Linked DNA regions of Kluyveromyces lactis. Each later gene encodes a partner of the first gene's protein in a complex. Links are inferred from orthologs where the notes say so. Each region holds a gene or a part of one and is shown on either strand. Other genes may lie near its edges.

Region 1 (2,592 bases):
GATTAAAGAATGGTATCACTCTGACAGAAAATTGAGAGATTTGATACCACTAGAAGAAATTCGTTCCTTCGACAAGTATTCAATTGAAAATGACCCATTGGAAAATTACAAAAAGCGCACAGGTGATAGTGTGTTTTGAGTTACTCTAACCTTTCAGCGAGATGGTAAAAAAAAGAACAGCTTTAGTTTAAAACGTCTGTTGTGGTGTTTATTTCCCTTTGTATACTATATTGATAAATAACATTTTCACCCCAATCTTAATAAACAAAACAACTAATATCAATATTGCTTTCTTATGATGTTGCGATAAGTCTTTGGTTATGGAAAGAATATATTAAACCGAATTTCGACCTGCAATCTGCTGAAGAGGTATATAAAATTGTATATTTATGAAGAACCTCTTTCGAAGTGAAAAAAAAAAGCCTAGAGATTTCATTATGGAACGGCAACATATGACTTCATCAGCAGGTATTATAAGCAACGCTTTGTCCAGATCTAGGGAACTGTTGCAGCTAGAAATATGAGAATAGGATAAATAGAAGGGAAAACATATCAGAAAGATTTCAAATACTGCTTCGGTATATATCTAGAGCAAAAGGTGTGGAAGAATAGAAAATAATAGCATCGTAGACATTCGACAATGCATTTCATCTTATCATCACTTCAATATTGTTATTCAGGTTCTTTCTTTTAGATCATCTTTTCAACAATATCTGGTTCAAAATTGTGCATTAGTTACTTGTTTTGCATCAAGCAGAACAACCTAATGGAATCATAAAAGAAAACTTAAAGGGAAGAAAGTTTAACTTAATCTCATTCCTCAGAAAACAGGGCATCGTCACCAAAAGTGTTTTCACTCGAATAGGATACATAAAGGAACCCGTCCTTATCCTTGTGTTGTTGGTAAATAGAAGACATTAAAGCTGCTGTTGGAGGTAAAGTATCATTGACAAAGATGAAAATAGCCTTTTCAGCAGGTAGCTTGATTCTCTTTCTAATTACATAAACAAATTGGCCAACAGTCAAATCTCCTGGCACCAAATATTTGCGTTTATCAATGTCTGGAATATCCGATTTGCCACCTCTTTCACAGATCACTGGAATACGGTTATGGAACTTTTGCACTATCCTTTCAGATTCAGCCTTTCTCTTTTCAAATGGGAACTCAGATTTGAATGCAGATTTCATTGCGTTTTAAAACTCTCTCCTATAATACGTAACACCGATAAAAATAATCAAACTCTCTTGAAATATTCTCCTGTCTCTATTTCAAACTAATAACCCGAAAAGATGTTTGTAACTTAACTTTCAAAAGTCTAGCTGATTTGTTCCAACTCTTGAATCGTGTTGTGTCTCTTTTTATCCGTCTTTCTGGTTCTTTCTCTCTCTCAAGAAAAAAACTTGCACGTAATAGCACTGTACTGCACTTTTCTTGCAAAACTCAAACAGATTACTGGGTAGCTAAGAAAAACGCTCTTTGTTTAGTTATCGATGATATGCGCCGCTTTGATCTTCGCGTGTGTTCCCTTTTTATACCCTTTCTGCTGTTTGGAAAATGACAAAACAAAAGTGTTCCCCCCTTAAACGGTTTGAGATGCCGTTGACCCTTAAGTCACGTGGGAAAGACAGAAAATGAATCACGTGATATCCGGGTAACAATACTATGTACGTATATATGTGTGGAAGCTGCTGCTCTATATGCTAAAGCCAGATAAGGTTTCCTCGAGCTCCTGTTGTTCTTGCTCCATCAAGGATTCGTACTCTTCCTGCAGTTCTATCAGCCGTATCAGCTCTTCATCCTCATTTAGCTGTTTTGGCTCCCTCTTTGTGGAAATATTATTCAACATAGCGGGTTCATCGGCACTATTCACGACCTCTCCTTCATCTTCTACCAGTCTATCAATCTCATCTGGCGGTATCTCGTGTTTCTGTGCTTCTTGTTGCATGTCTTGCAAGTGTCGTAGGTATTCTTGTTCCATGACGAATTGTTCCATGTCGTTTCTGTAGCTATTGATCTTCTTCTCTCTTGCCAGTTCCCGTAGTCTGCCCTTCCTTCTTTCTCTCATAAGGTCTCTAATGGGGGACGATGATGATAACGGTTGCTTGTACCTTTGATATTTGAGCTTTCGCTCTTCCAATATTTCATCAGTGATATTAGAATCGGCTCTTCCATCGTTACTTTGGACATTGTCAAGATCGGAATCGCTATCTTCTTCGTGATATCTGCCATGAACCGGACTGCTCGGTATACAGTTCATGTAGAGCTTCAAAGTTGTGGATTAACGTCTGCAATACACCGGACGGCCTGCTCCAGGCTTCTTTCCCCAGCGTACATAGAAATAACCTTAATCCTTTTGGCGTTTAATGATGCTGGTCTAGAGATATGGTTTTTTGTTCGATTAACTTCATAAACTGAAAACGCCTTAGAATTACATATACACATTATATTCGAAATAAGATATGAGATCGACTGTTGCTAGAGAATCAGCAGAGGTGATCTACGGAGCCAATAATTGCAATTAAATTAATTAAATGTGGTGAATTTATAAGTAGTACGGACGGGTTTCGTTTCACTAGAGAAACGTAACTGCT
Region 2 (4,285 bases), about 1.3 Mb from region 1:
CTGTTGATCAATGTCTAGGACAGCGTTTTCCTTTGGCTCACTCTCGACTTCGTCTCTAACTGATTGAGGTGGATTGTTGGCTGTCGACGATGTGACAGATTCTGTTCTAGGGATGCCGTATTCGTTTAAACTTCCTTCGAAAGAATCTGCCATCGCTTCGGCAGCAACTTCATCATTACCCTGCTGGTCATGTAATTGCTGCTCGCTTAATTGATCATCTTCTAATTGTTGATTTTGTTCTTCGTCAGGTTCAGTTTGTGAGACAGGAGTTGGAACATCTTTGTCGAAAACACTTTCTGGTTTTTCCTCCTCCTCAGCTGGCTGGGCAGTCTGAATTTGCAGTCTTTTTTGAATCAATTCGTTTGTATACTCATCATCAGGGGTTTCTCCCATGGCTAACTTCATTTGATTCTCAGAGAATTTTTGGACTCTATCGGCATAGTCATACTGTTGCTTCTCAAACTCTGCATTTGCTGCTTCAAACTCCGACTTCCTTTTATTCAAATCATTAAATAGTTCTTGCAACCTCGATACTTGATCACGGTATAGTTGTTCCTGCTTTTCTATCTCTGCTGTTCTGGATTGAACTTCCAATTCACGTGCATGTACTTCTTCAGAAGTTGCAAGGTATTGCTTATGTTTGTTTTCCATCTCAGCGTGCTGAGCCTCAATAGTAGCTTTGTAGTCATCCAATTCTTTGTGCTTTGATAAGTAGATACCAAGGGTTTGTTCAAGACTTTGAATTTCTGTTTGAAGATTGTTGGCAGTCATCTCTGAAAGTTCTAACTGCTTGGCATGAATATCGACTCTGGATCTTTCAGCTTTAGCATTCTCTTGAACTTCAGCCAACTGTTGCTGTAACTGAGAGGACAAAGTGTTAAACTGGGCCAACCTCTCCTTTAACTGCCTTTCCTCTTCTTGAGCTTGTTGCAACTGTGTTTGCAAATCCTCGTTCTGAGTCTGCACAGCATGATAATTTGCCTCTGCAACAGAAGCTTGTTGACTTAACTCTTCGTTTTGTGCACGAAGAGCGTTCAATTGCGTCTGTATCTCCTCCGTTTGACGAACTTCTTCATTGTAAGACGCACGCAAACCAATGAGTTTAGTCTCGATCGATGCCTTCATGTTAGTTATACGAGTAAGTTCATTCTGAGCAGCTGTTTTCTCTTCATGAACTTTCGTAGCTTGTGTCGTTAATGAACTCACCTGAGTGGAGAGATTTGCAAGTTCAGTAGTGGCCTGAGAAAGCGATGCCGGTGGCACAATTTCACGATTGTTAGAAGTGACTTCCCTCGAAGGGACAGAAACACCTCCAAAGTTTGGAACACTTGGTAACGAAGAATTACGTGCAGTGGGTGGTGGAGGAGGAGCTGCAGAGCCTACGTGTGTAGGAGCAGTTTGCATATACTGCTGCTGCTGCTGCTGCTGCTGTTGTTGTTGTTGCTGGTCGTTACCACCTTCTTCAGGGATAATGGTTTGTCCAAATGTAGATGAAGGTCTAAATTTCCTAGCATTTGGTGCCAAATGTGTTGAAGGCTGAGCCGATGATTGTGGCTGGGAAGGAAGAGATGGAGGCGGAGGAGTGAATGATTCATTTAGACCAAGCAAGTCATCCAGAGCGCTATTACTGGTTTTCTGAGCTTGAACCGGAGCTGCAAAATTTTGGTAATTTTGACCAGCATCTCCGGTGCTTGCTACACTAATGCGCTGTTGTTGTTGTTGTTGTTGTTGTTGATGGTACAAACCTAAAGCTGGCGAATTTAATAATTGATCAGGAACAACATCTGGCAATTCGATCCCGGCATTCTTCTTCTGAATTAAAAACATTGCAATCGCAAATTCAACCTTAGTGAAAACTGGACTGTTATGAATATCAGCAAGATCCCACACAGTTGCTAAGACATCCTGTCCCAATTTCGATGTCAAAAAAAATGGAACTAAGACGTTAGAACCTAAGGAACCCTTTTTCTCTTTATCCAAAGAATCGAAAATAGCGTCAAACTGCTGCTTTTTTTCAAGAGTCAAGGTCCAATCTGTTGCAGCATTAGAAAAAGTACCGGATGGAAGTCTGGACAAAGAAGGTTTTCTGATAATTCCCGGATTTCTGACAACAGATCCACTGCCAGATGTGAAAGAGAAGCCTGTGTTATTGGCGCTCAGTGGAGTCAGAGTAGAAGATGCTGTACTATTCAAAGAATTCCACAAATAATTTGGCAAAGTAGAAGGTAAGTTTTGAACGGCTGCGTTTTGCTGTAGTGTTAGCTGAATCAAATGCATCGCCATAACAAACTCCACTTTATCCAAGCTTCCGCTATTGCTCCTGTCACACAACCCCCAAATAGTACCTAGAGTTTGAGTTGGTAACTTTGCTTTAAGGAAGATTTCTCTTGCTTTATTACCAGCTAGGAAACCGCTTTCTTCCGTTGATCTGTCAAATAATTGGGCAAACTTGGCATAATCATGAGGAGTGCATACAGGAATGACGGAATAAGTTGGCGACGAACCCGTATTAGTTCTGCTCACCGATCTATTGATAACAGAGGGGACTCTCTGGACAGAATGAGACTGATTTGATGGTGGTGGGATAGATGGTTGTGTAGAAGCAGAGTTGAACTTTTGACTTTGTCCGAATGAAGGGAGCTTCGAAGCAGGAGTCTGATACAATTCTAAAGTAACTTGCGCACCTGGATTTTCCTGTAAGTGCGCAACCATTCTTAGAGCGGCGTTAAATTGATCAACAGTTAAGAAGCCCGCGTTTTCGGTATCGCAAATGGTCCATATTTGCGACAACTGTTGCGGAGTTAACCCTGATTGACTAAACAAAGGTCTTAAAGCTTCTCCAGTCACAATTCCCAATTGTTCTCTATCTAACCGAGAAAAGTGCTGGGAAAATGCTTGCTTTTCCTCACTAGTGAGGGGTACACGGAACGCAATACCTGACATGGTTCCCAGAGGCGTGGTGGATGTGTATCTGTTGCAGTTTATCGGCTATATTTCACGAAAGGGGTTTCGACCATTTGATCCAATTTGTCGTTATTCAATTATCTCAAAAAGATGATGAAACTATATAATCGTGCAAGATGACTTTCGGATCGCATAAAGAAGTGAAGCATTGATGTAGGATTAAGGTTTCCAATGCGATGAGAGAGTTGAGTTTATCACTTCATTTAGAAATTGTGTAGAGTGTATGCAACTCTTATTGAGAGTTTTTATGAAAATTGATAAATGATAAGATATAAATACGCAGTAACATTTTTCTCGAGTGTATGTTTTGTTGTCTTCCTCGGATTAACTACTGATGCCAGGTTAAAGCTAATAACATCAACTCATGATAAGCTCGCCCATTGCATAGTATTTTGCATTGAAACCGTTCTGTTTACCATGATGTTTGAATGTGATACCGTACAGTTGCCGGCATTCATCCCCAAAAGACTACGATCAAGGAATTTGGCTGCGTACGAACCTTTTTCCATGAACAAATATCTATTGGCATTTATTGTATGCTGCGTATGTGCCAGTACGAGCAGTGAATTTGCACAACAGTTCCTCTCACGAGGAAAAAGGTCCTTTGATGTAAACGATATTTTGGCCAATTTTTCGGGAAGTCTGCTGGGCCTAGGAATTGCATATAAGATAGAGCAACAAATTCAGCATAACTATGAAAATCGATAACGTTCATTTATATTTCACGTATACATATGTACAGGTTTATTCAAGTAAATACAGTGGAGGTTGGAACTTTGATCATTTTAGGTTAATGTAAGCTCTGTGTGCAATAGCAGTCTTATGAATAGAGTCTCTCTTTTCGAAACCTGAACTATTACCGTTGAAGACAGATACCAATTCTTCACCAAGTCTTACTGAGAAATCGCTCGATGATCTCTTCACAGAACTTTCCACAATCCATTTCCAAGCTAATCTAAACCTTTGTCTTTGATTCAATGGAACTGGAACCACAGTGGCCTTTGCGACACCAGTCTTGAAGGTCTTGATAACCATAAGAGGCGCCAACACATCCAAGGATTCTTTCAAAACTTTTACCGGGTCTTTCCTTGTTTGACAGAACACAATATATAACGCTCTTGAAAGAATCTTCTCAGCTCTTTCTCTTTTCCCGTGTCTCATAATCATATTCGTTACATGCTGTAAAACTGGATCCTGTTTTTTTGGAATGGGAACTTGCTTCAACGTTTCCCATTCATTTATTTGCTCTTGACTTGGCTCAAAGCTGGGCTTGTTCAATTCCATAGCCTTCTCCAAGATATTAATTCTAGATTGGTTACCT

The links. The genes of interacting proteins can lie anywhere in the genome.
Region 2: the proteins of ATG8 (region 1) and EDE1 are in contact, whole or in part, in a crystal structure (PDB 6WY6), measured with the Saccharomyces cerevisiae proteins. The link is inferred for Kluyveromyces lactis from reciprocal best matches to the Saccharomyces cerevisiae genes ATG8 and EDE1. Residues at the interface, in NP_009475.1 of Saccharomyces cerevisiae: Phe5, Ser7, Glu8, Tyr9, Pro10, Glu12, Lys13, Ala16, Glu17, Arg20, Ile21, Arg28, Pro30, Lys46, Arg47, Lys48, Tyr49, Leu50, Val51, Pro52, Asp54, Leu55, Gln59, Phe60, Tyr62, Val63, Lys66, Arg67, Phe104; in NP_009506.1 of Saccharomyces cerevisiae: Phe1226, Ala1230, Asn1231, Ala1232, Gly1233, Ser1234, Glu1236, Gln1237, Phe1238, Glu1239, Thr1240, Ile1241, Asp1242, His1243, Asp1245, Leu1246.

What each region holds. Positions count from the first base shown.
Region 1 is NC_006041.1:1,828,293-1,830,884, reverse strand, and holds ATG8 (ubiquitin-like protein ATG8), read right to left. Parts: upstream 1,189-2,592; coding exon 814-1,188; downstream 1-813. Other genes in the region: NUP170 (Nup170p), read left to right, coding at 1-139; RTT105 (Rtt105p), read right to left, coding at 1,695-2,258.
Region 2 is NC_006041.1:513,739-518,023, reverse strand, and holds the start of EDE1 (Ede1p), read right to left. Parts: upstream 2,944-4,285; coding exon 1-2,943. Other genes in the region: KLLA0_E05765g (uncharacterized protein), read left to right, coding at 3,226-3,672; RSM7 (mitochondrial 37S ribosomal protein uS7m), read right to left, coding at 3,745-4,285. UniProt on the Saccharomyces cerevisiae protein: Functions at the internalization step of the clathrin-mediated endocytosis (CME) as an early-acting scaffold protein. Requires clathrin adapter proteins, ENT1/2 and YAP1801/2, for normal spatiotemporal dynamics and viability.